2 linked regions of the Rhinolophus ferrumequinum genome follow. The protein of the gene in region 2 interacts with the protein of the main gene of each other region in a pairwise test. Links are inferred from orthologs where the notes say so. Each region holds a gene or a part of one and is shown on either strand. Other genes may lie near its edges. The genes, in order: TCF19 and DNAJA3.

Region 1 (15,720 bases), on a different chromosome or scaffold from region 2:
AGAGACACAGGGGTCTTTATTTCTGTACGGCTAATACTCCAGTCGAAAAGATTTGGTGTTAATGAGCTAATAGGCAGGAGCTCCCTTCATAACCTGACAGGTGTTCTCATTGAGTCCAGGACTGGTCTTTCCATCACACATGGTGCTCTGCAGCTTCTGGGGTGAGTGACGTTTGTAGATAGGTTGTTTCTAGATGGTAGGTGGGCAGGCTGGATGCAGACACTCCTGCAGACCGCCCCTTGGGCCCAGGTGGGGAGAGGGTCAACAGTTGGTGTTTGTGTTCTTACGTGTCCTCTGCCTTTTAAATGCTGTCTCAGGACATGAAAGCTCTGCAGAAAGACCTCGAGCAGTTTGCCAAGCTCCTGAAGCAGAAGAGGATCACCCTGGGGTACACCCAGGCCGACGTGGGGCTCACCCTGGGGGTTCTCTTTGGTGGGTCCCCGGCAGCATGCTCTGACCCACAGAACCCAGGGACCACATCTCCCCTTGGAACATTCCTGAACTTGGCCTTTCCTCCCTACCAAGGGCATGAGGGGAGGGTGTTTCCAGGGCATGCTCTGCTCTCACCCGTGAAAAGGGTAGAGAGGGAGGGACGAAGATACTTGGTCCCAGAGTTCCCTCTGGGAAGAAGTGGAATCCTGGGTGGGACCTTGTGAGGGCAGGAAGGGGTGGTGAATTTTGGGTCTTGGGTCCCTGCCTGCTGCCACATGTTGCTTCTCTTTCAACCCGCCTTCCCAGGGAAGGTGTTCAGCCAGACAACCATCTGCCGCTTCGAGGCTCTGCAGCTCAGCTTGAAGAACATGTGTAAGCTGCGGCCCCTGCTGCAGAAGTGGGTGGAGGAAGCTGACAACAACGAGAATCTGCAGGAGGTGAGGGTCGGTGGGCGCATAGGGACCTTCCGTGGCTCAACCTGCTGTCGGTGCTCCCACCCCCAGCTGGCAGCTCCCTTAGGGGCCATAGTCCTCAGTGGATGGAGGATAGATGATTCCTCAGTGCTGCTGGGACAAGTCCAGAGCCACTGGTCTACCCTTGTAGGATTCTTTTTCATACCATCTGGCTCTGGTGACGCCCCTTAGCAATTTGCTCGAGTCCCTGATGTCATGGTGCTGTTGCTTGCTCCCCATCTCCTCCCCTGATCCCCCCCGCCCCCACCTGCCCAGATATGCAAAGCAGAGACGCTGGTGCAGGCCCGAAAGAGAAAGCGGACAAGCATCGAGAACCGAGTGAGGGGCAACCTGGAGAGCATGTTCCTGCAGTGCCCGAAGCCCACGCTGCAGCAGATCAGCCACATCGCCCAGCAGCTCGGGCTTGAGAAGGATGTGAGTGCCCTCCGCGTGCTCCGTGCTCCGAGTCCTCCTCCCCAGGCCCTGCCCGCTGCCCTAGCTCTGGCTTTTGCCCTCCAGCCACTCTGGATCTGTTGCTTTGGAGCCAAATGACCTCATAAAACCAGGCACACCTCCTGGAGTTTATGAGTGAGTGTCACTCTCCCTTGTGTCCTCCACTCCTAGGTGGTCCGAGTGTGGTTCTGCAACCGTCGCCAGAAGGGCAAACGATCAAGCAGTGACTATTCTCAACGAGAGGATTTTGAGGCTTCTGGGCCTCCTTTCTCAGGGGGACCAGTATCCTTTCCTCTGGCACCAGGGCCCCATTTTGGTACCCCAGGCTATGCGGGCCCTCACTTCACTACGCTGTACTCCTCAGTCCCTTTCCCTGAGGGTGAAGCCTTTCCCTCTGTGTCTGTGGCCACTCTGGGCTCTCCCATGCATTCAAACTGAGGTGCCTGCCCTTTGCCAGAAAGGGGAGAGCCAGGGAGAGAACCCTGAGGATTGTGCTGGGGCTTTGGGGTTAAGTTCTTCGTTCACTAAGGAATTGGGAACACAGAGGGTGTGGGGGCAGGGAGTTTGGAGCAACTGGTTGGAGGGAAGATGAAGTTCAATGATGCTCTTGATTTTAATCCCCACATCACTCACTCATCACTTTGATCTTAAATAAAGAAGCCTGGGACACAGTAGGTGGATACTTTTGTTTTTGCCTTACTGAAGAAGGTCCTGGGGATACCCAGCAGTGATATTAACAGCTCTCAGACCCAAACGACCCTGAAGCCAAAGTGCCATACCTGCTCAGTCACACAGTATCAGAATGAGAGTGGGACTGGAACATGTTTATTTGTAAAGGTCCTTGTAGGCACGAGCTAGTTCTTAGGCGCTCATGACATGGGTCCCAGGGAATTTGCACCCTTATTTCAGCCCAAGATGTTGTTATGTAGCCATTCCCTACCAGGAGCTGGCTCTGCTTTCCCCACCGTACACTGGAAGTCCTTGGGGTTGTCCTGCTAAGAAATCGAGTCTTTAGATTCTTACCTCTGCATGTCCAGTGACCCCAGCCAGAAACGCCACCTTGTGCTGTCCTGACACCAGGGTTCATTTGGTTTCCCTTTAAGGTTTCTGCCTACCCTGGCCATGAATGACTCAGCAGGCCCCACACTTTAGTCCTGGTTCCAGAGCTGTTTCCTCGATGTGGAAACACTTGGGTTGGTAAGTAGGTAGGAGTAGAGAGGGTAGACATGCAGGTTGCAATAGACTACCAAGATAAGGCCTTTCCTAGAAAGAACAGAAACACTGCTTTGACGGTACCTTGGCTTGGTGTAAGGGTCACAGAAGGAAACCAGTGAACCGTGCATGGGTTAGGTTGATGCACACGGGACCAGGCCAGGGTCTGCTCTGGCTGGTTGACCAGCTCTTCTCTTCCCTGGCAGCACTAGCACCCTTGTTTTGTTGCGCTTCACAGATGTTGCATTTTCTACAAGTCAAAGGCAAGGCCCTCCACCAGTAAAGATTATGGCTCCCGTTAGTGCAGTGGTCTGAACATGCAATGTCTCTGAGGTGTGTCTGTACAAGTGAAGCTTGTAACAGTTCTGCCATCTACATGAAACTGACCAAACCCCAGCTCCCTTATTTTAATGGCATTGGGTCTGTTTTCCTTTAAAGGAGAAGACTTCTTACCTGGGTTCCTTTTTTCCCATCTCCCATCTCCAGCTCATCCCACCTATGTGCATCTCCCCAGTGAACGGGTTTGTATTTCTCTGCCTTTTCTGCTCATCTCCCAGGCCCTTAAGAACTCATGTTCTGCAAACCTTCCCAAGGCCATTCTCCCAAGAATTGGAAAGCATGAGTATGAGACCCACAAAAAGAATAAATGGCAGTGAATGAAGCTACTCTTTATTTGGAAATGAAAGCAAACCTCTGAAAAGCCAGGCTACAAACAGGGTCAGCAATAGGACTCCCCACAATATAAGGAAGTTTGGGGGCAGTGCTCTAGGTTTCCCCCAGAATGCCTCAGGTGATGCCATCCAAGAATGTTGAGAACTCACTTGTTAGTGTCTGGGGCTTACATCTTCCCAGGCATGGTCTCTGCAATTGACCAGAGCTCTGGTCACAGACATTCTAGTGTGAATGGCAGCCAGGACCTGGGAATTTCCAGCTCACTGGCAACTTCCTGCAGGCAGTGTTATCTTTGGCAGGAAACCATCTCTTCTGTCACGTTGGCCATGAGGGCCTGTTCTAGACCCATAGCAATGGACCCCAGCACTGTGGGCATTCCCTCCTGGGCAGGCAAGAGAAAGCAGTTCTTAGAACCCACTGGTATTCCCTCGTGTCCACCCATGGCCTGGAGGTGCCAGCTGTCTGGCCCCTTGGTGGAGGGCCTTAGGTCTGGACAGTCGCATGACACCCTGGGCACCGGAAGTCAGCCTCCCTGGCAGCCTGGATACTGCAGCCAACACAGGCCACGTGGAACCAGACGTCACAACCATCACACTGAACCCAGGCCACTGTCTCTTCTTGGGGCAGGAAGCAACAAGGGGCTGCACAGGGCTCCCCGGCCCCAGCAGCAGGGGCAGTCATGGTGCTCACTGGGTACTTCGGAGGACGCCCATGACGATTTCTAAAGAAAGTGAGAAAAACCAGGGTCACTGGAAACCTGTAGAAGCCTAGTACTTTACCCTGGATGATACCTGAACCTATGTAGACTCCCTAGACTAATGGTGAACCTGGTTAGGAGCTAAACCAGGTCTTGCCATTCCAACATCTGTTCTCTGTCCACCTCCTACCCCCCACCCCAAGCAGAGGGCCACCTCCCAACCTGAGGCTCTAAAAAGGAATCAAAAGGCAGTGAAACATTGAGAAAACGATCTCTCCACTTACCCACTAGATGTCAGAGGGGTTTTGTCTACTCGGAGTTTTTTCCTGGGCTCTCTAAGGACTAGTGGGGGGCTCTCAGGAGCCTCTCTCTCATCATCCAATTCTGCCAACACTCGGTGAGCCGATTTCCTCCGATTTCTTGGGGGTGGGGCAGAAGGGGCGGTCTCCACTGCCCCAGGGGGAATGGGAGCAGGCCGGCTCTGTGGCCCACCCCCAGTCCGTGAGAAGGTGAAGGGCTGGGGCTGGAGCTTGCTGAGGCTGCCAATGGAGTTGAGGATCAGCGTGGCTCTCGGGGCTGAGGCCAGGGTGCCGAGGGGGCGCTGTGGAGCCCCCTGTGGGGGCAGCATGGGCCAGAAACCAGCTCCTGGTCCCTCTTCCCTAGACCGTGGGACGGTAATGGCAGCAAAATCTTGAGGTTTGACATGGACTTGCTGAAACATGAAGTAGAACTCCGAGGGGCTGGTTCCTGGGGGCCCTTCAGGGCCGAAGGTCAGAAGGTCACCATCACTCAACTGCAGCTTGTGACCCCTTGGGAGTCGGACATTATTGACCAAAGTCCCTGTTGATGACGGGCACCAGACAGATACAGAGAATGACAAAAACATGACCAGAGTCAGGAGTAGAGAAATCTGGTCCTGTCTGATTTTCTGGGGAGCGTGAGGAAGAATATGGCACCTGTCATCAAATTCTCACATTCTAAGTCCCTCAGCAGGTGACATCAGATGTTAAGCTCTTTCTGAGCTGGGAACAAGTGTACTTCTTATGCCCTCCCACAGGACAAGGAGGGAACAGACCCCTTCCCTCACTCCACTGAAGTCCAGTTCTGACGTGCTCACTGTCTCCCAGCTCATTCAGCGGAGCTCAGACTGGGTCTGAATCCTGACTGCACCACTTGCCCACTTCATGACCCTGGAGAAGTTACCCTCTGTGCCTCATTTTCCTTGTCTAAAACGGGGCTGATGTTAATGCTCGTCCACAGTCAATGCATTTAAAACGGTGCCTGGTTCAATAGTAAGCGCTAAATGAATATCGGCTACTATAGTTACCTAATCCCCACCACACTCCCCAAACAGACCTTACAAAGCTTCCACTTTACCTAAGAGGAAACTAAGATTCAGAGAAATGAAGTGACAGGCCTGAGTTTTCACCTGGGGCCAGTGGCAGAACTCAGATGTGAGCCCAGGCTTTTTGAGGTTGGCTGTGACCACCTCCGAGTCAGGGAGTAAGACACATGCCCATATCATTAAAACAGTTCAGCATCCTAACTGCCTTAAGACAGGAACAAGGCACCTCAGCAAATCTGGAAACTGAGTCAGGCCTGAGCTTGGCCCCAGAACATCCCCACTGTGATATTTCCCTGCTGCCCAGGCTCTGGCTCTACCTCCCAGCCCCTGTATGAGCTAAACAGGGGCCACCAAGAGTCAGCCGGGCAGAGAGCTGCTGACATTGCACACTTTGGGTGAGAAGACAAGAGGTCTGGACTACAACCATCCATCCAACCTGACAGGGCGCTTGGGAAGCAGGCAGGGTCCCTGGGGAGCCCCTTCATCATCCCGGCCCAGAACGGCTCACTGCTCACCTTGGCTGCTGCAGTCCTCCAGGCTGACCCTCCAGGCATCACCCTGGCGCTCGGCGTGCAGCTCCGCGTGGACTCCAGAGATCAGGCCGGGCTCCTGTTGGGGCTTCAGGGCCACATCACACAGGTCAGCCCTGTGGCCCAAGCGATAGGTGCATCCAGCGCCGCTTGGGGGGTGGAAGGTGTAGAGATCACCGCCCCTGCCGCCTCCGACGCGCAGCAGCTGAAAGCAGGGCAGCATGGGCGGCGCCCCCTCGGCCCCACCTCTTCCACTTCAGGAATCCATCACCTTCCCCACTCCTGAGCCATGCACGGTGGCCCAAGTTCGCTTTCCGTCTGATGCAAACTTGAGCTATGATTTGTGCAATTTCAACTTTGAGCACACCCCCTGAGCAGTGCAAATTCAGTCCAAGGATCCTAAGCACGTGATGCAAAACTGGCTGTCAAGCAGCTTTGAACTGAAAATTCTGGGAAGGTCCCGGTGCAGTGCAAAAACGAACACGTCCTATGGTACTTTAGATGAACCGATCCTCAGTCTGCAAAATATTCGGAAAGCCTTCAATCTGTGCAAGGTAACATACATTCGGCAGCTTCTGGGGAACTGGGAACTGTAGGTGTGTATGGGGGCGTCCTACTTCTGTGCAATACTAACTTGTCGCCTCGATATAATTTGGGGAAAAGAAGCTTCTTCCTGTCAGACTTGCTTATCCAAATAGAGTAGCCAGCCCTCCTGCTCGCCCGCGCCTCTCTTTTCTGGCCAACCCCTCGCACATAACTAGTTAGCTTGAACCCCAGTGGAAAGTGATTCCACTGTCACCCCCTCCCAAAAGGCAGTGAAAACGGGTCCCTACGTTCTTTCGCAAAGTGGATCTAAATCCCTGCTTCCCGGCTTTTTCGGGTGAGATAATAACAAAGGAAAGAGCTCCCCGAGATCATGCAAGGCAAACCCAGCCTTTTGCCTCCCCGCCCCAGCTCCGTTTCGGATCTACCGCGCGGTGCAGTCTCGAAGTGGTCTCCTCTCCGGCAGTGCCAGCCTGTGCAGCGTTCCGGGACCCCTCGGGCTCCGGCCTGAGCTGCCGCTCCTGCTTGCTGTTTGACAGCGAGGAAGCCGGGCCAGGAGGGGAGCGGCCTACGCGCGCGGGCAGCTCCGACCCCGCCTTCGGAATTCCCCGGTCCGAATTTCGCGCCAGCGAGCCCGCCCCTCCCCCGTACCGTTCCTGATTGGCCAGCCCCTATGCCCTCCTCCGTTCCATTGGGCGGGGCGCTGGCAGGCTCCCCCGATGTCCCGCCTACCACTTTTTCTGATTAGTTCACAAGTTTTCCCGGGTTCCGGGAGTTAGGAGGCGCCGCCAGGGCGCGGAGGTGCCCCAACGTGGTAATTGGGCAGGGCTTTAGACACTCCTGCGCCTGCGTGTATCTCTTCCCCGCCCCCCCACTTCCGGTTTTTGAGCGGCCCGCCAATGGGTCCACTCTGCGCAAGCGCGGTCAGGGGCGGGACCAGCGCCGCAGCAAGGAGTTGGGGGCGTGGCGAAAGGGCAAAGGGGGTTCTCGTGCTGGGTGAGGGGGCTTTCGGGAAGAGTCAGTTGGGGGTGGGAAGGGGTTGAGAAGGGGTTTGGGTTGGGATCAGGGTCCCATAGGGGAGGAGGGGGTACAGGCGCCGGGTAAAGGAACAGATAAGGGGGTCAGAATAGCCTTAGAGCTCCGGGTATATCGGGGTGAAGACTCAGGGGTGTCTGGGGGAGTTAGGGGGGAACGGACTGAATGCCAGCTAGAGTAGGGAGAAGAGAGGAGGCTGTTGAGCTGAGAGATGAAGGTGAGAGTGAGGGAGCAGTGTAATTCAAGGAGAAAGCAGATTAGGATGTAGGGAAGGAGGGGGGAGGAATCCTAGATCGAGGGAAAAGTGGGTGAATTTGGGTGGGAGGGTGGGAGACCCTGAAGAGCCCTCGCTGTGCTCTAGGACGCTGAAGAGAGGAGGGTGGGTGGCAGGAATGGAAGTTAAGGGGATAGAGAAACTAAGAGGAAGTTGCTAGAGGGGTTTGCATGAGATGTCAGGAAGCTGGCTTTTCTGCCAAGGGATCTAGGCTGCCTAGATTCCCAGGGGTTCTGGGGAGGCGCCCTGCCCTACATGTGGCCACATTCATCTGGGGTCAGCTTGGGCCAGCGCTTTAATAGGGAAGGGCCCAGGAGTCATGGCTTGGTGGTGTCCGGATGGGCTTCCCCAAGGCCTGCTGAGCCATGGAGAGAACTCTGGAGACTGGGCTCACAGTCCCGGCACCACACACCTCCAACCAAGAATGGCAGAGACTATAAAAACCTGAGGAGGAGGGTAAAGGCACTACCCAGACCTGAAAAGTTTGAGTAAAGCCTAAGAGCTCCCTCTTAGCCTGTTTCAGTAAATTCCCTCCATCTCATGGTTATTGCCCCAGTTCTATCAGGGACCAGGTTGGGTGAAACAAGTGATCTTTGGGTATTTCCTACTTCCGGGAAGTAGAAAAAGAGGAGCTTAGAGTCTGGTGGACCTGGCTCTTATTTAAGGATAATGACTGTTATTTTAGGGGCTTTCTCTTTGGAAGGTGGCCTGAAAATTGAATTGGAGTGCCCTTGTTTCTCCTGTTGTCCAGGGGAACATAGATGGCTGGACACAGAATCTAGAGACTTCAAATAATGTGGAGATGTTTCGACCTTCAGGTCAGTGGGACCTGGCAAGGGGACTGGTGATTGTCTCTTCCTGGGAAACTGACCATCTCTGTCCTTGTGATTCCTCAGGTTCCACTGGGCTCATTCCCCCATCCCACTTTCAAGCGCGGCCCCTTCCTACCAAACCAAGAATGGCTCCCACCTGGGTCTCAGACATTCCCCTGGCCCATCAAGATGTCTCAGAGAGGCGGCCAGACAACCAGAAACCTCAAGTGATCATGTGGGAACGGGATGTTTCTGGCGATGGGCAGGAACCAGGGCAGAGAGGCAGGTAGGGGTCCGCTGTCACACTGTGTTCTCAGGCTGGCTTGCCAGAGACCCTTGCTTACTGAAATTTCATACCGTAGTTTGGTAGTTTGTTCATTTTTCCGTAAGCAATTATTGGTGCCTGCAATGCATAAATAATAATAAGGCAGCATGCTAGACGATAGGGATGGGGATAACAAAAATAAATAGGAGAAATCCTGATATCAAAGAATTTCAAGTCCTAAGGGAAGAGACCGATTGACCAACAGCTGATCGTAATAAGCATGATATACAAGGCAAGGTGAAGAAGTTCAAACTGAGACTGTTTTTGTGCTGGATGGATTCATCCTGATGGAGCACCGGCTGTGGGAGCTCACTGTGCTATTTGTCAATGTGTTGTCTGTAAAGATTCTTATTCTTGTTTCACGTATGTCTTTTCCCAAATGTACTGGAATGCCATTCTGCCGTTGTGCTCTAGCGTGGGATTGGAGACAGCGCTGCCTCGGACCCCATCAAATAGGAAGGAGCATGACGACGAAGGGGGAGCACTGCAGTGGGTGTCAGGAGACAGAGACACTCTGTTCCTCGTTTGGCACCAGCTAGGGGTCCTTTGGCCAGTCACTTAACTTCTCTAGGCTATAGTTCCCTGCTTAAAGAAAAAAAAAAACCCTGTGATTCTGGGCCCCAGTGAGGGCGCTATGCCAACAGCCATGTTATAAGCTGTAACTTTATGTGACACCAATAGCGCCGTGAGCGCGCTCTCTGCTCATCTCCCTCAGACTTTACCTTGCCCTTAAATCAGAATTCAGAAGTCTCTGCATGTACTTCCAACCTCTCTAATTCAGAATGTGTGCACTAATGATGTGCACATTTCATGTTTAAGACATCCTTGTGTGTAGCTCCAGAGGCCATGTTCCATGATCTCAGCCAGTCTAGGTCCTTTGAGCCCCGGCACTGGACCTTCTATGCTTAGTAGGGCCTCCATGGATGACGAGGGTGCTGGGAATGCAGAGATCCCCACGGCCCAGCTTCATCCCCCCGTCTCCTCACATAGGAGCAGAGGGATCTCTTCTGTCTCCATTTATGCCCTGGCCACCTTCCCAGCCTCAGAGATAGGTCTCACCTGTGCTAACCTGTCTTTGCAGGTCCGTGGAGCGGCAGGGGTCACAGGCCCTGAGCCAGCAGGCTGAGCTGATCTCTTGGCAGCTGCAAGAGCTGCGGCGGCTGGAAGAGGAGGCCCGGGTCCTGCGGGAGACCTCGCTGCAGCAGCAGATGAGGCTGGAGGCCCAGGCCCTGGAGCTGGAGGCTCTGGCACGGGCGGAGAGGGCCGGCCGAGCTGAGGCGGAGGGCCTGCGTGCCGCCTTGGCTGGGGCCGATGTTGTCCGGAAGAACCTGGAAGAGGGGAGCCAGCGGGAGCTGGAGGAGATTCAGAGGCTGCACCAGGAGCAGGTGAATGTGGGGGTGGGAAGAGCTCGGCTTCATAGTGGGAAACTGGGCAGTAATTTCCCGGCAGAGAGCAGGAATCAAAGAAAAGCAGTGGAGTGATGAGAAGTCGTTTGGTGAAGGTGAAAAAACATGACCTGGAAAGAGGGAGACCTTGGGTGTTTGCTCTTACTCAGACTGCACTTTTCCCCAGGACCCAGGTGATCTCCCCCACCTGAAGCCCTCCTTCCCCTTCCAGTAGGGAGTACTCTGTCTTCCGACTTTACTCTGGCCACCCGATTCATCTGGGAGCATTAGGGGCAGCGGGGTGGAGGAGTGGGGTCCTGAGGTGGGCTGGGAAGGGGAGATTGTTCAGTCGGTAAGCACTTGTCAGAGCTTACTCTGCCATCCCTGAGATGAGAGCCAGGACTCCACAGTGAGCACATCAGCCCGAGTCCCTGCCCTTGTGGCAGGGCTGACAGCCTAGTGGGGACACACACATTCCATACTTGATTTAGTCCTAGTTAATTGCAATTGGGAGAAGTGCCCTGAAGAAGGACAAGGGAGCCCTAACCTGGTAGGGGAGTTAAGGAAGGCTATCCTAGTTAAGAAGTGAAACCATAAAGATACTGAAGGAAAACCTGGGTGAATTCTTCTGTAACCTCACGGTCTTTACGCGTGAATCAAAATTCTGAACCATTGAAGAAAAGATTGGTACATTGACTTTCTAATACTAAACTTAGGAGTGACAAAATAAAAGTAAAATTAAAGGACAAATGATAAACCAGAAAGGAATACGAGTAGTCACAGCTCAAATCACAGGAAGCGGCTGATATCTCCACTGTATAAGGTGGGCCTAGAAACTGACAAAGGAAACACACAAAAAATGTCCGTTAAAAAATGGACAAAGGAGATAGTCAAAGACAAATATAAATGCCTTTAGATTCATGAAAGATGCTTAATGATAAGTTGACATTTATGCAGAATAAGAGCTGGCTGGTGAGGAGACGGGTTGGGTGGCTGTGGGAGCTGGTGTGACAGTGGCCAGCACGTGTGACAGGAGGGGGCCTGAGAGCCTTGAGTGCAGGAGACGAGAGGGCTCTGGGCGGTGGTGTGACTGCAGGACGTCAGGGCCCACGTAGAACTTTATCTGAAGAACAGCAGCTAGTGAAATGGGAAAGTGATGTGATGAGATTTGTATTTTACATCTCAAAAGACCAGTTTTGTGATTTATGTCCAAAAAGATGACTCTGACTGTGGTATGGAAATAGAGCAGGGGGCGGGACGACAGACTGGAAATGCGGGCAGCAGCCTCCCCCCTCCACCCACCTCCACCCCCGTCCCATGACCCCTCCAGTGTCCCCAACACCCTTACCACTGTTCAAGGTGCAGTAAAAAAAGGACAAGATTCCTACCTTCCTAGAACTTCCTTTTGAAGGGGGTGTGGCAGACAGTAAGCACACACAGAAGTAAGGTCATCTCAGACGGTAAGTGCTGGAAGGACAGGAACAGGCGACAGGACGGAGCAGGGGTGGGTAGGGATTGGAGGCCCAGGGCCGCCTTCCCGCGGAGGTGACAGGTGACGTGTGCCCCTCACCCCTGAATCTGAGCAGCTGGGTAAGCGGGAGAGTGATGGGAGACGGGCTCAGACAGGTGGGCAGAGGCCAGGGCACAGTGGGCGTCGCAGGCTGCGGGAAAGACTGGGTTTTGTTGGAATGCCGTGGTGAGCCACTGGAGGTTTCTAAGCCTGGTGAGGAGATTGCTGCCGTCCAGGCCTGAGACGAGGGTGGCGTACATCAGGCTGGTGGCAGCGGAGGTAGAGAGAAGTGAAGGTATGATTTGGGGGAGACCTGACCGGAACTGCTGATGGATTGGAAAGTGATGGGGGGAGTAAGGCGCCGGGGACTGTCTCCATTTGCCGTGCTCAGTCAGGTGATGTGTGTGCTGGGCTGTCTGAGGTCACCGAAAGTGGGAGGGGACAAGGCCAATGCAGGGCCGATTTAGAAAGCCTGGATGTGGGAGTGAGCCAGCTCCTGCTGAGCCCTCTCTCTCCGCAGCTCTCCTCCTTGACACAGGCTCACCAGGAGACTCTTTCCAGTCTGACCAGCAAAGCTGAGGGCTTGGAGAAGTCTCTGAGTAGTCTGGAGACCCGGAGGGCAGAGGAAGCTAAGGAGCTGGCTGAGGCCCAGAAGGAGGCCGAGCTGCTGCGGAAGCAGCTCAAGTACGTGGGGTGTGGGGTCCCCAAGGCGGGCCCAGCGATTGGTGGGTGGGGCGGGTCTCCAGGGTGCCCCACTGATGGTACCCTATTTCCACCCTAATACTAGCAAAACCCAAGAAGACTTGGAGGTTCAGGTGACCTTGGTTGAGAATCTAAGGAGATATGTGGGGGAACAATTACCTCCTGAGGTCCACAGCCAGACGTGGGAGTCGGAGCGACAGGAGCTTCTAGAAACCGTGCAGGTGAGAAAGTGTAGGGTGCATGTGTGGGGGTGGGGGTGGGGCGGGAGGCCAGGATCCCAGGGGAGGCGTGGTCCCTGGGGAGAGCAGCTTTCCCTGAGGGTGCAAACAGGCCTCTCTCCTGCTGGTAGCACTTGCAGGAGGACCGGGCCGGCCTGCGCAAGACAGCGGGACTGCTGGAGGTGCGCGTGCAGAGCCTGACACACATCCTGTCCCTGCAGGAGCAGGAGCTGGCCAGGAAGGTAGGCCGGGCCTCCCTGTGTGTGGGGGGGGGCGGGGGGTGGAGGACTTTCCTTCCCTGAATTTGCTGCAGCTCCTGCTGCTTGGGCAGCACAGAGAGAAAGCGAAATGCTGCCTCCTTCCTCTGCTCCCCCAGGAGCCCACACTGTCCCCCTCCTCCGCCCCAAAGGTTCAGCCTTCAGATTCCCTGGAGCCTGAGTTCACCAGGAAGTGCCAGTCCCTGCTGCAGTGCTGGCGGGAGAAGGTGTTTGCCCTGATGGTGCAGCTGAAGGCCCAGGAGCTGGAGCACAGAGTGTGTGTGGAGCAGCTGAAGGGACAGGTCACCCGTCGCCCTTTCTTCCCATGTTCTTCACCCCAACTTGCTCTTTACATAAGGGATGGCATTTATTCAACAAATACTATTGTGTGGTTACCACGTGCTGGGAACATAGCCCTGAACAAAAACAAGTACCTGCTCTCACGAGCTTAGGTTCTGGAGCAGACGCACAATAGGCAAGCAGACGGTTAGGTAAGGTCAGGTCATTATGTGAGCTGTGAAGAAAAAGGTGACTGATCACGTGACACTGCGGGGGGTGGGGGGGCAGCCTCAGGCAGGATGCTCAGGAACGGCCTCTTGGAGGAGGTGGCATGTGCAGGTCCTTGTGGGTCACAGGGCAGTTCCTCAAGGTGTGGGCACATGGAACATGCTTCTGGAAGGAAACCTTGGTTTCCATTCTCAGGAACCCACGCTTCTGGTCTCCCTGCATGGTGTTCTTTCAGAGACCTCTGCACCTGTCCCTCAGTGCCCTGCCTCCTGTCCTCCCCCAGGTGGCAGAGCTCCAGGAAAGAGCCGTAGCCCAGAGCCAGGAGCAGGCCATCCTGCAGCGCTCCCTGGAGGACAAAGCCGCAGAGGTGGAGGTGGAGCGTGTTGGCGCCAAGGTCAGTGTCAGGCGGGCAGAGGCCAGGGGCGGGCAGAGAACAGTGGCGGGCTGGGAAACCCAGCGGGCTGGGTCTGTGGGCTGGGCTGAGGAGGGACCCTGTTCTTCATGGCACCCTTCTAGGCCCTGCACATGGAGCTGAGCCGTGCCCAGGAGGCCTGGCGCCGGCGGCAGCAGCAGACAGCCACGGCTGAGGAGCAGCAGAAGCTCGTGGCCAGTGCCGTCAGCAGGTATCAGGGATGGGGGGTGTGGGAGGGCAGGGAGGGTGGGGGTAGTGTTCCGGCTTCCCCAGCCTCCCGGGCACCTTGGAGTTTAAGAACTCAGGCAAGACGGGCTGGAAAGCTGGCCACTGGAGGAGCAGGGCAGAGGTATTACGCCTGTAAAAGCTCCTGTGCTTGTTTTTCCTGGAGCAGCCCTCCACGTTCCCACCAGGGTCATTTGTTAGGACTCCCACTGTGTGTGTGGCTGGAGCTGAGGCAGCACGTCCTGCTGCAGTCTGGTCCAGGAACAGCCTGAGCTAATGGAGCACCTGCGAGGATCCCTACCTTCAAAGTTGTTCGAGGATGGGGAGTGTGGATACTCGATCTTTTCTTTCTCTCTTTACAGTTTTACAGGCATGCCCTGATTACTTGGAAAAACATTTTATCTATTTATTTTTAAAGCTGTACACTTTTACCAGCTTATAGGCATTCTGTATAAAAGGTATGAATTTCCTTCTTAATCAATTACAAGCCTGTGTTTCTTGTACCAGCTTCTAGGTGTTTCCTTATATAACCTTTAGAAAGACCTCTAAGGAGAAACTCAAGCTTCTCTGTGCTGGGAACATCTCCCCTCAGCCTTGGTCATTGGGGCACCTGGGCCATGCAGAGCACTTAGCACAGGGCCTGGCTTGTCGCTTGCACTCTGTAAATGCTTACCGTTACCACGTGGCTCTTGTTGACTGATCACATAATTGATTTAACAAAATTGTGGTGCAGGATGGGTCCTTGTGCACCGACCCCTTCTGTTGGATTTGTACCTTGGGGACTAATTTAAGTTTAAAAAGTGATGAAAGTAAAACATACTATAGAACAAAGATCCACTGAAGTGAAAAAAAATTGATGAAAGATTTCAGACACGCAGGGAATTAGAGAGGCTAGTTAGGATGAACCACTGCACACAGTCCATCCACGTGATCCTACCTCCAGGAGAACAGGAAGATATGCTGTGGACAGGGTTTTACTTCGGTGCCAGGACACCACTGAAATGGTTCTTGCTAGTGACCTGTTGCCAAAAAGTACAGGAGGCGTGAAACAGCCCAAGCTCAGTCTGTTGTCAGTTGTTAGAGAGTGTCTAGATGGCTTGGACACCTTATCAGAAAATGGCTTTAATGAGAGCCACAGAAGGGGCTGCTCAGATTTGGACTCCCCGGGGAGTTCCAGCCCGGCCCCTAGATGCTGCCTTGACCCTCCCCCGGGGACCTGTGTAGGCTTCTTGGCTTTTGTGAGCCACTCTGTCCTGCTTTGGGCACAGCTAGCTGATAAAGCCGTGCACCTGACCTTCACTGGTATCAGGGAATTTTCATTTGTCAGAGGGGATAACTTTGATCTCTGATGCATAATAGTTATCAAAAAACAGGCTGTGAAAAATAAGCTTGGAAGCTTGCTTGAAAAGATACACAGTCATTTCATGCCATGTTTGGGCACGGGCCCCCTTAGAAAGCTGGTGGGAGCTATGGGCTTTGTTCTTTAGAAAAATGCACGTAAGTTCACACACCCCAAACGTGGCACATGTGCCAGGAGAGTCCCCAAACCTGGAGAGGCGTCCAGGGGCCTGCAGGTGGACAAGTCTAAGTCAGCCAGCGATTAGCTAGCCTGCCGAACACTCCTGTTGGCTCCGCAGAGTCGTTTTTACTCAGCCCTTTGCAGTGTTGTGGCACCTGGGTCCAGATTAGGTCTGGCCCATGAACCGCATTATGGTTTTCCTG
Region 2 (15,427 bases):
TTGACCTCTGACCTCAAGAAGCTAAGCTTCCAGCCTGCAGTGAGTCTGCCCTTCTGCCCCACCCTATTTGGGTGACAATGTCTGAATCTCCACACCCACATCTACCTCCCTACCTGGACGGTCGGAGTTGAAGACAATCAAGCTGCAGCTGGATTTTATATGGTTCCCACAAGAGGGGGTGGTTCCTGCTCGAATGTCACTGATCCAGGCCTGGAAATAAAGAACAAGAACCGTGAAGGCCAGGGCTCTCTGCAAGTGCCTAAAGCAAGGGGTGGGACATGATCCAGGACACTCTACCTTAAAGCTGCACTCTTAGAGAAGCATTCCTTTGGATCAAACCCTGTTCCTACTCATGCAGTACCTTAGAAAATGCAAAACATCTTGAAATGACAACCTAAGTCATAAAGGGGGTAGTTTTGCTTATTAAATCGTTCTCCAATGGGGAGAGGAGGTCGTCAGAAAGAATCTCAGGCTGAATGAAGTCAAGAAGGTAACTGGGCAGTGTGTGCATGCATACGTGTCTCTGTGTGTGTGTGTGTGTGTTGTTTCTATTAAGAAGGAAAGAGAGAAGCAGAATATGGAGCAGTAGCTACTCAGAAGACAAACTCATCTTCCTCAACTGTATTACTGAAGGTCTCCACCTGAGTCCAGGGTTCTCCAAACACCAGGAGAAAACACCCAAGCCCAGAGAAGGGGAAAATCAAGGCCTTTCCATGAAGTCCCATAGGTGGGTGAACGACACATCCCCATGAAAAGGCAATAATGTTAACAGCCCCACACCCAGAGGGGCAGAGGAGTCCTTTTTCTGAAACTAAGATCAGCAAAATCCACGTTTTCTCTGTTGGTATCAAAGCATCGTTCATCACTCCTTCCTGTCACCCAACAATCAAACACCCGTATTTCCCAGACCATCCACCCACAGTATCCTGGAAACCACCTCCAGCACCCAAGTTTCAATTTCAATGTGCACCTGCCTCGAGTAGAAAATTACCATCTTGCATTATTCTTCCCTCCTGATTCATGTTTACTGTATAAATACAGTGACAGGAAATAGCTTTGAAAAGAACTGATCACCTGTTCTCCCACCTCCCTAACATAAACTTTTCAAAACTCCCTTTGCAATCTGTTTCCGTGCCTGTCTGCTTACCTTCCCCACCAGGGAAGAAGCCCCAGAGCCCCTCAAGGACATTCCTGACCCTCCTAAGCAGTACTTACCGTACTCAAGACAGAAAGTCTAAATGCAAACCTGAGAACCTCTCCCCCCACCCCCACCCCACCCCCTTCCCACAGCTCCCCATTGTACTCAGAATAAAAGCCAACTTCTTCCCGTGGCCCTTGGGCTCTGGAAGACCGCTCTGGACTTGTCAAACACCATGCTTTCCCATCACTGCCCTCATCGTCCTGGCCCTTTCCATTTCCCACCACCACTCTTCCTGTAGCGGGCTGCTTCTCATCCTTCTAGCCTCAGCTTAAATGTCACCTTCCAGTAGCCTGCCCTGACCACCCTGGAGAGATTAACCCCTGCCTCACTGTCCATCTCCATCCCAGCCACCCCCCCTCCTGCCACGTTCTTCAGGGCACTTATTAAAACTCGCAATCCCTTGCATGACTGTCCGCTCGCTGGCTGTCTCCCTAGTGAGAGGCACCAGAGAGGACAGAAAGTGCTGTCCTGTTGACTGTTGCGCCTCCAGCAGCTGGGCACAGCACATGGGATGTTCAGAGGAAATATTGTCCAGAGAATGAAAACCAGTCTTGTGTCCGAGGCTGCCCTGATGTGCGTTTGCCCCTGATGGGGTCACCAGATGGGGTCAGTTTCTAGGCCCACTTATGGGAGGACACGCCAAGGCCTTCCAAACAACATGGGGAGCGGCTGATCAGGGCTGGCACCGTCTCCGCAGCACACTCCTCATCAGGCCGGCTGCTCTTCCGGAGGTCCGAGGAGCTCCCCCAAGCACCTCAGGGCTCCACCTTCTCGGGCTGCTCCAGGCCCCACCCAGGCCCTGGTAGCATCACTCGGAGGAAGGGAAGAGCTTGCGCCAGCCGCGAGAGGAGGAAGCACCGGCGGAAACCCGAGGGAGGGGCGCGCTTCTGTCCGAGGGGCTCCCCCTCCAGGGACACACCCGGACTCGCCGAAGCCAGGGAATATAGAAACATCTGTCCCACACACAAGCCCCGGGCAGGGGCGATCGGGACCGCAGGAAGGAGAAGCCGGCGGCAGCAGTGGCCGCGCCGCGGCTCCCCAGCGAGGCAGACCGGAAGCCGGGAAGGCAGGCAGCCTCGCAGGCCTCAAGCCTCCACCCGGCCGGGCGAGCTGCGCCGCCTCGGGGGTCCCGGAGCCAAGCGGGCGGGCCGACGGACCGCGGGGCTCACCCAGCGGCCAGAGAGCATCCAAGCGAGCGTCCCAGCAGGTCCGGACTGCGCCCTCGCGGCGGCGACCGAGCGGCCCCGACGCCGGGCCCGAACCTGAAGGGGGCGCCCCCAGGCAGAGGGGCTTCGCAGTCCCCGTGCGGGGCCGAGAGAGAAAGAGGGGGCGCGGGACTAGGCTCACCTCACGGCGGGGCGGCCGGGCCTCCGTGTGCCGGAACTTGGACACCTTGAAGCGGCTCATGGCGGTGGGGACCACGGAGCTTGCAGCTTCGAGGACCCGGGCGACCACCTTCAGGTGTACCGCAGGCAGCAGCGAATCCCGTACCCTCCGGCTCCGCCCGCGGCCCACCGCCCTCGGCCACGCCCAGACATGCCCCGGCCAATTGCAGCCGGCTCCGGCCCACTGGGCCCCGCCCTCGCCACTCTTCCTCCGCGCGCGCGTCCCCGGCCCCGCCCCTGAGCCAATCGCTAGTCGACCGCCCTGCGAAACCACGCCCCAATTGCGAAGGGGCGGTGGCGCGGGTGGGGAGGTCACGTGCGGCGTGCTGTCCGCCCCCGGCCCCTGGTTGAGTGCGTCGCGAGTGGGTGCAAGAGCCCGAATTTTGTGTGCAGGGATTTGCCCCAAGAGGCTTTCAGGGTGCAGAGACGCGCCCACTCTGAGGAGGAGCGAGGGCTTCTATTTCAGAAACAGTGAACACTCAGGGAGAGAGGAGTCGCCGATCCATGGTACACAGATAGTGAGTGGCAGCGGGGGAGCAGGAGTCCAGGTCTGACGCAAATCCCTGTCCGTGGGGTCTTCCCTAAAGCCTCTGCATACCACCCACCCTGCTTAGGCCAGGTGGGCTCGGCGGGAGGGATGGGACCTTCAGCATCTCCTTATAAGGGCATGTCTTGGCTGCAGGCCTTGGGCGAGGTGGGGCAGGACTCTTCGAAGGAAATCAATGTATCATAAACATATAAACTGAAAGGCCGAAAGATAGGGGCATTCTCCAGAATCCATTAAATAGCAAATATGCCCAACAGGCGCTGCTGGTATCCCAGGGCAACTTGGAAGGAAAGAGAGCGGGCTCATTCCCCGTGGGGCCATGCATTACACAAGCATTTCTCTTCGCTTTGAAAATTGACTCCGTGATTCCAGAATATGCTTTCTGCTTGAGAACAGACAGAACACCTGCTCGGGCGTCTGGAAAAGGGACTTTGATCTGAGGAATGCGAATGATTGGTCGGAAACGCTAGCTGCTGTGAAAATTCCCTTTGCGCAGTCTGAGGTAGGCTGTGCGCAGGGCGATTCGGAAAGCTTGGCCTGGAGATGGGTGCAGGTGGACCCCAAAGTGCAAGTTCTCGTTTCAGTTCATGGAGGACTAAGAGGCCACTACCGTATCCTACTGAGTTAAGAGCAACTTTGATCACCATAAACTAAAAATAGGATGTCAGTAGAGTTAACCGAAGGCTAGGATTTGGAATTCTAATCAGGCTGGCAGCCACTCCAGAATGCAGCTTTCCCATGGCACATACTCTTCAGACTCGAATTCCAGCAGCTTTGGAAAAGGCACCATCAATGCAGTCTTGAGTTGGTTGTAGTGTTCAATATTGTTTCTTTTTTTTTTTAATTATGGTAAAAACAACAAACTTTACCATTTTCAAGAGTACTGTTCAGTAGTGTTAAGGACATTCACTGTGTTGTACAACAGATATTCTTAAGATGGTAAATTTTATGTGCATTTTCCCACAATAAAAATTTTTTAAAATAGAAGTCAACTGTACACCTATTGCAAAGTTCATGTAAACCTCCCAAATTTGTTTTGGCACTTCACCGTTATTCGTTTTTATTGTTTGACCTACCATTATGATGGGCCTAACTGGGCACAGTCAGAAAGTGAGAAAGTCGTTAACCCCCAGAAGTAACAAATGGACATGCCATGGGCTGAATCTGGTCACATAATGTTTTAGTTGGTTCACGTGGTATTTTTAAAATTGAGACATTTCCTGAAAGTTTGAATTTCAGCCTCTTGAAAAATGGAAAGATTTGATTTAGCAACAGTGGGTCCTAATCCCCATATGGCTAAAATGGTTTGGAGCTGAGAAGCACCTGCCACCTTTAAAGCATGTTTTCCCATTTGCTGCAGTCCTACTGGTCCCTGTCATCTTATACATGGCCACTCCACCCTTACACTTTACCTACTTGGCCCTGACACCTGGGTTTGTGACCCCTGACCTCCCCCAGGAGAGAGAGAAGCCATGACCCTGGCTGTGCTGGATCATGTGACTGTATTTCCACAAACTCGGGGCTGGTAGTAGCACAGTTGGAGAATGTCGTCTTCCCCATTCCCACGTGACAAGCCTGAGCTCCACAGCAGGCGAGTAGAGGAGAGTGAAGGACCAGAGGGACATGGAGGCCCAGAGAGTGACCCAGATCCATTCTGACTGGGTCACATGTTCCCAGATCCATTCTGGCTGGAGAGTGATTCTTTCTAGTAGAGTTCAGAGCTCTAAGGCTGCTGCAAACTTGAGCAGAATAAATTACTTCATGAATTGCAAAGTTGAACTGACAGCCTCCAAGATTCCTTCCAGTCCCAAGAGCCTATGAATAACCAGCTTTGTTTCTTTATAGTCCTAGTAACTCCACTTCACTGTTTGTCTCTCAGGACTCTGGAAGACACCTCTCTACCCTAAAATTTTTTTTTATTGGGGAATATTGGGGAACAGTGTGTTTCTCCAGGGCCCATCAGCTCCAAGTCGTTGTCCTTCAGTCTAGTTGTGGAGGGCGCAGCCCAGCTCCAAGTCCAGTCACCATTTTCAATCTTTAGTTGCAGGGGGCACAGCCACCATCCCATGTGGGGATTGAACCAGCAACCTTGTTGTTGAGAGCTCTCACTCTAACCAACGGAGCCATCTGGCCACCGCACTTAGGATGCATTCTTAAACTGTGACACCAAAGAAAACATGTTTCCAATAGGATGTTCCTTTAATCTTCTGTAAAGTCAGTGGTTTCTGTAAATCAGAATTTTTGCAAGAGAAGGATGGATGAAGCCAGCTTCAGTGCCAGCAGGAAATTCCTTACATCTAGTTATCTGCCCCTGAAATGGTTGCTTATTAATGTGCACATTGAAAACATTTTTGTATGTAAGCCCTGCCTTGTTCATTTCAGGAGCTGGAGCAGAAAGGCACATGCAGTTATCAGCACAGGAAATGGACAATTATGCAACAAAATACATTTTAAAAATTTGGAAAAACACTCATTCTCCCCAGCATGACAGTGCACCTTAAATTATTATTTTATTGCTTCTCAAATGAAGGTGTACCCATATGTTCTTGGGGCTCTGATGTTTTACTATATCTAGTGATTTTTGACTTTTTACAAGAACTTGCAAAATATTTTAGCAGAAACTCAAAATGTAACTTTTGTGGTGATAATTCACAACTACAGGGCATCTTTCATAGAAAAGGTGATGTTTTCTAAAGTGATGTTTTTCAATTGGAGGCTACTGATCACCAGAGGATTCAGAGCTTTATTCTTCGTGTTCATGATCTTTTTTTTGCCTTTAAAAGATTTCCTTTTATTTCTCAAGTTTGTGAAACGTTAAGTTTAAGCCTAGTTTGGGCAGAAGAATATTTAGCTGTGAGCTGGTGCCACGTGTGGTTTTATTTAAAGGGTCTTTTAGGAAATCATTAGCACAGAAAACCCAGACAACTGAGGAGAGGGCACAGGTCAGTTCGTCTCCTTCTTTTGCAGGGAACTGCACCCACGGCAGATGTTATGTCCGGGAACATATAGGTTACACATTTCACATCCCCTTGGACTCGTCCCATAGTCTCTTGGGAAAGAAAGGAAATGCTACAACTAGAAAAATCATGAGCTAGCTTTATTGCCTCTGAAGAGACTGGCCGAGGCCCTTTTGCCCTCCCTGATAGGGCTCCTTACATGGGGAGGGGAGCAGCCATCCCATTGCATAGCCATGGACTTGGCCAGTCCCATTGTACCTTGGATGGTTAGTGTCTGCAGGAAATCACAGAGTAGACCATACTTAAAACTCCTTACCAGCTCTCACAGATCTCACTACGTCAGGAGAGCAGGAAGGGCCAAGTGGAACAGTAAAATAAAAAATGTAGAGAGGGAGGTGCTTATGAAATCTGTGTGCCTTTTGCAAGTAACATTTGTTTCTCCTTAAAGCTAAAATTTTTGGCTTTAGACTGGAGACTGGGACAGGGGAGGGTGAGGAGGGGAGAGATACAGGACATATTCTGCCTGGGAGTGTGGGAGGTGTGGCCTGTGTGCTCATCCCAGTTTTTGCCAACAAGCCTGGAAAGTGTCCATTAGTAGCCACCATCACCCACTCCATTCCCTTGGGGTCTCTCCTTCCTAAAAGCAAATGTGGGCTCCCCAACAACCAGCCTTCCTGCTATCCCCTAAAATAAGAACACATACCCCCTTTCAATGTGGACAATTTTTACTGTTAATCACTATGGGGAAGTAGATGGAGGGAAAACTAAAATACCAAAAAATGAGGAAGTTACAGAGCTGACAAAGTTTTCATATTAGTGAGCCCTCCTCTAGTGTCTAACTCACTTTGAGGTGGTAAGTGCAAGTCCCTTTGCCTTGTTTTCGGCTTTTATTCCTGAAAGTTGTACTTCTCAACCAGCACCCTCTCCCACTCTTTCTCCCTAGGTTTTGGGCTCCATGTGGGCAAGTAATTGTCTGAGTTCTGCTTGGTATTGTCAGTGCTTAGCAGAGAGCCTGGCACATAGGACTAACATATTGAGCACTTACTATGTGCCAAGTACTGTATGAAGCCTTTACGTGGATTATCTCACTCCTCAGATCATCCTTTGAGTTATTTACTGTTACGTTCCCCTTTTAGAGAAAGGAAACTGAGGCAGAGATGTTAAATATGTTGCCCAAGGACACACAGCTGGTAAGTGGCAGAGCCAGAATTCAGACTCCAAGGCTCATACACTGAACCACTGCTGGAAAACATTTAAATATTGGTTGAATATGTTAACAGATCTCTTTTCCCCCACTTCTGACCCCTTTTTTCTTGTTTCTCTAACATTCCCTAGCCCAAACTCAACTATTTTTTGCACTTTACAATAGCCTCATAACTGTTCTTCACTGGGCCAGTGGTTTTTAACCTTCTTTGAACCTCAGAACATGTGATGAATTTGATTGCTGAAAGCTATGGACTAACATACACATACAAAAAAATTTGTGTACAATGGGAAGGGTGGGGAGGAGCACAGATCATCTTTAAGCCATCTATGAACCTCCAGGTTCCCTTTTTATTGTTTGAGGTGGTGGTGGTGTATGAAAGTTGAAACTCCTTTGCAAGACTTACCAGGCCAAGTTTATCTTTCTGGCCTCATCTCCAGTCACACACCTTAAGTTTATGGCTTAAACAAATAAGGCAAGCACTTTCCATCTCCAGACATCTGCTCTTTATCTTCTTGCTACTTGGAATACACTTCCGCTCCACCCCTACCTGAGCCACTTTTCATTACTGGAATGTTACCTCTCAGATGCCTTCCCTGACACCCCAATACCCCAACCTCTGAGAAACCCCTTCACCTGTGTTCCTGTAAAACTGTTTGTGCCTACGATAGCACTGATCACGTTCGTTGCTAAGGAGCCTGTGTCTCTCAATTCATCGTTGTGCTCTTCCAGAGCAGAGATAGTATGTCATTCCTCGTTGTATCCCCAATACCCTAGAACGTGCGTGACACACAGATGCTCACGATGTTCATTAAACTCGTTTTGGGGAAACTTGTCTCACTCTGCGACCGGCCAAGTTCACTACAGGTTTGGAGAAGGCTAACACGCTTAGGAGAGACCTAAGGGATCAAAGTCCGCCGCGTAGTGAATCAATCAGAAAAGGTGAGTTTGAGGACAGAATCTGGGAGCTGGGCAGAAACTCCGACCGCTCGCCCGGACGCCGGAGGAGTAACAGGCAAGAAAACGTTGTCAGGAGGAAGGAAGCCGTGTACTGCACGCTGCGATGTGCGCGACTGACGGCCGCATTGCACGCCGGGATTTGTAGTCCCGCCCTTTGCCGGGCCCCTCAAACCAATTACACTCAGCTACACTCAACCACAGGCTTATACAGATAAGGAGCAGTCGTGATCCTCCAGCACAGAATTGCGAGGTTCTCCAGGGCAAGTATATATAGTAGCATTCTTTAGAGCAAACCTCATTTCGGTGTTGGCTACTAGGAAGGCGCATTGGGTGCAAATAAGCGTGCGCAACGCTTGTGCTTCTGCGTGCGCGCGCAGCGGGCCTCGTCTCCCGATGTGCCGGCGCTGCGCGTGCGCGTTATTCTCGCAAGGCCTGCTTGAGCCGGCTGGCGCAGGCGCAGTGTCCCCGGGCCAAGATGGCGGCGTTGTATTCCACACGCTGGTTGCTGGTGGCTGTGGGGACCCCCCGGCTGCCAGCTGCAGCAGGGAGAGGGGCCTGGCCGCCCAGGGGGGGCGTAGTGGGGGCGTCGCTGGGCCTCAAGCTGAGTGTTACCACCTTCGCGCCTTCCTTGGGAGCTCGCGGCCCCCGGGCGCTGCTGACATTGAGACCCGGTGTCAACTTCACAGGTAAGGGCAGGCTCCAGCGCCCGAGTGGGGCCTCAGAGGCCTGGAAAGGGGTGACTCTCCTCGCTCCAGCTACGGGGTAGCAGGGTGGAGGGTGTATTCCGACGCGTATACGGAATTGCTTGGGGAGACTGGCAGGCAGGAGGCAGAGAGGTCCAAGTGGGTACCCAGAAGCGGGGAACGAGGGAGAGCTGCATGGAGCTCCCGCCGGCGGGGGTAAAACGTAGGCCGTAAACCTTCACCACTCTGTCAACATTTTGGGAGGCCTCTTTCCGGGATGCTTCTGCTCCCTTCCCCTATTCCCTTCTTGCCCTCCAGTTTGTAGCCTGTAGCGGAAGGGAAGACGTAACTGCCATTGGGTGAATACCTGCTCTTATGCTAGGCACTTTGTGTGTCATCTCACTTGACGGTAACAGTAACCCTGCGAGGTGGGAATCGTCGTCACGCCCATTTTAAAGAATGGGTAACTGAGGTTCTAGCAGAGGAACTGACCCGCCCAAGGTCATAAAGTTATATAAGAGTTGTCCCAAATCCAGAGCTGTACTTTCATAGCTTACACTCTTTCCACGAAATGCAGTAAATCGACAAGGTACACTTAACGGTCTCTTTTAGAGGTCCTTAAATTGGTAATTGTAATAATACAAACGTTTATTGAGCACGTACTATGTACCAAGCATGGATCATTTCCACATGGTAGACACTGTTATTATTCCATTTTTATAGATAAACTGAGGCTTAGATGGTAAACAACTTGTAGAATGTCACAAAGCTAAAAAGTGGTAGAGCATTCATTCAAAACCTACTGTGTTCTTCATAGTCTGGGTGATAGTGAATTAATATTTATTAAGCCTTTAAATGCTTAACCATGATAGTTTCTCATGCTGTGTTGGGTGATTTTCATTACAGAGAGAGAAGAAAGGAGGAATCATTGAACAACCAACTATATGCCTGAATTGTGCTAGTTGTTTTTGTCCCCTAGAATTTGGGCAAATGATATTTAAACTATTTATAACTTTACAAAGATGATTAATTAAGGGCCCTAACAAGGTAATTTACACAAGATAATTTCCTATTGAGGTCCAGTTCTGTAATGCTGTCATTAAATACCAGTAGTTGTGATTACTTTGTACAGTGAGCAAACTCACCTTCACCTGTGTGTGTGTGTGGGGGGGGGGGGGAGAGAGAGAGAGAGAGACAGACAGACAGACAGACAGACAGACTTGGGTGAATTATTTAATCCCTTTGAGCCTCTCTTTCCTTAACTGAAAATTTATTCATTCATTCACAGGTGTTTATTGAGGGTCTGTCATATGCCAGCCACTGTCCTAGGTACTGGGGATACGAGATTGAATTTGGTTGTGGTCAAGTGATCCAGTTTTTTAATTCTGTTCCTGCCACCTGTGTTTCCTCATGAATGGAGCGGTATGCCCAGGTTTCCTCAGGATTATTTGGAGTGATGTCATTCAGTATTTCTCAGTATGAGCAAAAGTGGTCATTTTCAGGTTTAAGTAACATTTTCTGATGTCAAGCTAAATATGTTCACACTACATTTATACAAGTTGGGGAGCATTTTTGGTGTGTGTGTGTGTGTGTGTGTGTGTGTGAGAGAGAGAGAGAGAGAGAGAGAGAGAGAGAGAGAGGCACTCAGTACTGAGCCTTGTATGTGGTCATTACTAGGGAACTGCAGTCATCTCTCCTGGTCCCACTCTATAGCCTGTGAAGGGCATGTTTTGTATCAAGTGAGAGGTGGCATCTTTCAAAGTGCGCTCTGATATCACATCTAAAGTCATCAACTCAACTCTCAAACATTGGTCTGTGATCTCAAATCGAGTGGTTCAATTAGATGACATAAAAACATTTTAAATTCTCCTTCTCTCCCAAGGGCAGAAAGAAGACAGTTATTTGACACTGCGTTGGGCATTCTTGGAACGACTTGGAGGCTGATCCTATTCTGGGTTATTCTAAAAAGAGCAAGACATTTATTGGTCATATCTTGGGGAAAATTTGCCTATTAAATGAACTTTCTAAATTATTGCTAATCATGGATGCCTTTTGGATAATGTCAAAAGTCATCAAACTTATAATAGTTAAATATGATTTCTCTTTACTCGTGTGCAGTTTTGCATCATGCTAACCCAAGTCCAGGTTCTCTGCTCACGACATTGAAGCTGCAGCTGGAGGGGGCCAGGGTAACTCGTTCATAAGTGAAGAGGGGCTTGAGTGTAGAAACGCTAGGAGACTACAAAGTATTAGGTTGGTGCAAAAGTAATCGCGATTTTTGCAGTTATTTTTAACCTTTTAAATCGCAAGTACTTTTGCACCAACCTAATAGCTCTACTGTTTGCCTCAGATCTGACTAAAGAAAGACAGCAGTGTTCTTCTAACTCCTACTGCTTCCACACTGCTTTTCATTTTCCAGGAAGTCTAAGAAGCAGCAACAGAAACCAAATATTGGGGATACTGAAAATACAGATTTTCTTCCTGGTTCTGATTTTAATCATTCTGACCAGTCTTACTCATTCTGCTGTCTATTTATCGCTTTTCTTGGATATGCTCAACACCCTCGTTGTCTTTGGTGCTCAGATTAATTTTAAGTAGTTGCCCAAACCTAGTTGGTTTTTTTGTTTGTTAGTTTGGTTTTGGTTTTGGTTTTTTGAGAGCTCTTCCTCGTGTAAACCTGACCATTTCCCTGTTTAACACTTTCAGTGGCTTCCTAAGTTTAGGGGTTAAGCAAATAGGGCAAACACTTTCTATCCCCAGACGTCTGCCTTTGATAAGATCCACACTCCTTAGCATAGCTCAGAGGCCCTTCTGCTTATGCCGAGGCCCCTTTAATCATCATCTCTAACCACCCCTCTACCGTCCCCACAACACCATACACAGGCATGTCTGCACACACAGTCTTTAGCTACATCATAGCACCTGCAGTCCTAAATGCACAGGACTGAACCACTCCCTCCAAACCTAAGGTCGTCAGAAGATTTCGTGGCCAAATGGGGCACTTCTGAAAGTGAAAGGGGATGCTGTTGCAGATAACACCAGGACTACAGATGTAAATCTGGATGGATTCAAACCCCTCCTTAGCCTGCTAATTTCTACAGTTTAACAGTATGTGCCTTAGGAACCTTCCCTGAACTTCTTAGATTGGGTTGCCAGTGGTTCTCAACTGGAGGTGATTTTACCCTCCAGGATACGTTTAGTAATGTCTGGAGACTTTTGAGTTGGGGAGGGAGGACCAGATGGGGTGCTACTGGCAATTAGTTGGCCAGGGGTGCTGCAAAACATCCTATAATACATACTACCGGTGAGTATATTAGTTTGCTAGGGCAAAGTACCACAGACTGGGTGGTTTAAACGATAGAAATTTATTTTCTTTTTGTTCTATGTTTTGTCAGGATTCTTTCAAAGAGCCTACATCCACTACAGTCACCTTCTGAAGTGCTGGGGGTTAGGACTTCAACATATGCATTTGGAGGGGGGATACAGTTCTGCCCCTAACAGTATGACAGCACCCGCCTCCCTGCCCCACCCCTGCAAGACGAAACTAATCCCTTCATCCACCCCTTCTTCCACAGGGCAGAGATTGAGAAACCCTGGTGAGGTGACCCTCTGTATAGTCTCACTCTGCGTGTCTTTGTGTGTTAATCTCTTCACACACTGCCTTCCCACACCGCCTCGTGAGAGGGGTTCCTTGAGGGCTTTGGCTTTGATTTTTATTCATTTTGTATCCTTGTGCCAAATACAGTGTTAAGCTCTTGAATATATGTAAGCTCCAGGAGGACAGTGCCTTCAGATGGTTTGCTGCCATGTCCCCAGCATGGAGCCTAGTGCCTGGTAGGTGCTCAGCAAGTAATTGCTGAATGAATAAATGCTCAATATTTGTATTTGCTGAATGGATGAATGAATGAATAGTGAGTACAGAAGCTTCCCTACAGGCGAACGTTTGCCTTAGAAACCTGGAGCTGCCTCCTGATGCTCAGTCTTTTTCTTGGCCCTCCTGTCCCTTCTGCCTTAACTTGCCCCTTTCCCCCAACCTTGCACTCCCCATCTTCCAGTTGTCACAGGGTGGGGTGGGGGTTAGGAGGCAGGACTCAAGGTTGTAGAGTAACTTTGTGTTTGTGACAGGCCAGTCCCAGTTAGCGCTCTGCTTCATGCACAAAGGGCAGGCGAGTAGATGTGCCTGGTGGCCTTTCCTCCCAGCTGCTGATGCAAGAGGCCTGAAAGGAGGCAGGGCATATGGCTGCTTGCCATGTGCTTTGATTCCTTTCAGGTTGTCTACTCTGGCAAACAGAGGTCTGGCACAGGGCCTTTTAACCTTGTGTGTCTATATATGCATTGTTTCTAGAGGAAGGGTCAATGCTTTTATCAGATTCTTTTGAGAGATGTGTGACTCCAAAGACTGAGAATCATTTCTTCAATACAGTGGTTCATAAGTTGAGCCTGTGACAGAATGTCACCTTGAGGGCTTGTTAAACAAGGCTCTACCCCACCGACAGAATTTCTGATTCAGGTCTGGGGTGGGGTCTGAAAATTTGCGTTTTCAATAAGCTGATGATGCTGCTGGTTCAGGGACCATACAGAGTACCACCCTATAAGCAGATACCCAAGGTTGCGTGTAGAGGGAAAGAACATGGGGAGTTGTTAAGCCTTACGTGAGACAAAACATGAGAATACCTGGCACGTGGCAGGTGCTCAGGCAGAGTAACGGGAGCCAAGTCCCCTTTTAATCATCTCAAGGTACAGCCCCCATCTGGGGTACGGTTCCTTTGATGGTTAATGAGGCTCCAGCGGTAGTAATCTAGTAGGATCAGCCTCACCCAGTTTTATATTGACGTTGTTTTATATTCTTCTTGTACTGCGGCCTTAGCCATTTTTGAAGTGCAGTGGATTCGGTCTCCAGTGGGCTTGGAGGAGAACAGGCCCTAAAGCTGTGACCTATTTGCTCCTTCACAGGTATAACCTGGCTGGTTGTTTACTTACAATTTCCTTTTGGTGAGCATATTCCCAGAGTGATTTTCTTTCCTTTTTTCTTTTTTAGGAGTACAAAGTTACCCTTTTGTTTGTACTGCCTCTTTCCACACGAGCACCCCTTTGGCCAAAGAAGATTATTACCAGATATTAGGAGTACCCCGAAATGCCAGCCAGAAAGAGATCAAGAAAGCCTATTACCAGGTCTGTATGGAAGCCAGATTTTAGAGAGAAGATTTGTAGAAGGAATGCTATTATTCTAGTCTGATCCTGATCAATGCAATGCATATGCCTGTACGTATAGGACATAGATAGCTGACAGTACAGAATGCTATGGTAAAGATGAGCTTTGCTAGACTGTTTCTCAGTGCATGATGCTGCACTAGTTAATGCTTCACAAAGAAGGGGAGAGTCAGAACCAGAGATTAAAAAAAGTCTTTTTCCACAGCTGTTTTTGTACTTGAATTTATTCTGCACCTTCTGAATCAGTAGGCGTGCTGGTTTAAGTTTTAGGTAGTCATCCGTTGCATTCAGATAAAAGTTTATGGACTTAGAATTATTTCTTCTCTTAACGCAGAAAGTATGAAATTCCCATCGTCACATCCCAGAACGTATTAGGGCTGATTGGTATAGTGGCATGTGAGTTACCCAGACCAGTGGTTCCCAGAGTTTTGCTCAGATAACAAAATTAAAATTAAAAAAATGGGTACCAGTGTAGGATTGCCAGCTTTTGTAGATGTTAAAAATAACAACAGTTTATTAATGTTGTTTGATGAAAGAGCATCTTAATACCATAAAAATAGGAAAGCCATAATATCAGAATAAAGAAGAGATCTTTACATTAAATAAAATATAAATTACATGCAATAATAAATTACCTTTATGAAAAATTTACAAGATTCTTGAATTTTTCTTTTTTTTCTTTAAAGATTTTTTTATTGGGGAAGGGGAACAGGACTTTATTGGGGAACAGTGTGTACTTCCGGGACTTTTCCAAGTCAAGTTGTTGTCCTTTCAATCTTAGTTGTGGAGGGCGCAGCTCAGCTCCAGGTCCAGTCACCGGTGTTAACCACTATCGCTTGTGGGAGTCGAATCAGCAACCTTGTGGGCAACCCTGTGGTTGAGAGGACGCGCTCCAACCACCTGAGCCAGCCGGGAGCTCAGCGGCAGCTCAGCTCAAGGTGCCGTGTTCAATCTTAGTTGCAGGGGGCGCAGCCCACCATCCCTTGCGGGAGTCGAACTGGCAACCTTGTGGTTGAGAGGATGCGCTCCAACCAACTTAGCCACCTGGGAGCTGAGCGGCAGCTCATTGACTTCATTCTGGTTGCGGAGGGCGCAGCTCGCTGGCCCATGGGGAAGCCAACCGGCAACCCCGGCACCCAGAACCCGCGCTCTAACCAACTGAGCCACCCGTCCGTCCTTTTTTTTTTTTTTTTTTTAATGGGTGAGCAAAAACTTTGTCCGAGCCCAATATTTGTGAACCAAATACTGATCAAGACCAGACGTAACAGCTTATGGCTTC

Evidence for each region.
Region 1: the proteins of DNAJA3 (region 2) and TCF19 interact in a two-hybrid assay, tested with the Homo sapiens proteins (2 studies listed by BioGRID and IntAct). The two-hybrid records come from large-scale screens. The link is inferred for Rhinolophus ferrumequinum from reciprocal best matches to the Homo sapiens genes DNAJA3 and TCF19.

What each region holds. Positions count from the first base shown.
Region 1 is NC_046286.1:1,656,216-1,671,935, reverse strand, and holds TCF19 (transcription factor 19), read right to left. Parts: upstream 6,048-15,720; 5' UTR 6,017-6,047; coding exon 5,779-6,016; intron 4,759-5,778; coding exon 4,203-4,758; intron 3,943-4,202; coding exon 3,705-3,942; 3' UTR 3,203-3,704; downstream 1-3,202. Other genes in the region: POU5F1 (POU domain, class 5, transcription factor 1), read left to right, coding at 318-432, 739-869, 1,161-1,319, 1,509-1,775; CCHCR1 (coiled-coil alpha-helical rod protein 1), read left to right, coding at 8,448-8,463, 8,542-8,743, 9,864-10,167, 12,198-12,361, 12,465-12,600, 12,729-12,839, 13,007-13,156, 13,645-13,755 and 1 more. UniProt on the Homo sapiens protein: Potential transcription factor that may play a role in the regulation of genes involved in cell cycle G1/S transition. May bind to regulatory elements of genes, including the promoter of the transcription factor FOXO1.
Region 2 is NW_022680357.1:5,621,727-5,637,153, forward strand, and holds the start of DNAJA3 (dnaJ homolog subfamily A member 3, mitochondrial), read left to right. Parts: upstream 1-8,688; 5' UTR 8,689-8,729; coding exon 8,730-8,940; intron 8,941-13,975; coding exon 13,976-14,109; intron 14,110-15,427. Other genes in the region: CORO7 (coronin-7), read right to left, coding at 114-210, 2,549-2,608. UniProt on the Homo sapiens protein: Modulates apoptotic signal transduction or effector structures within the mitochondrial matrix. Affect cytochrome C release from the mitochondria and caspase 3 activation, but not caspase 8 activation.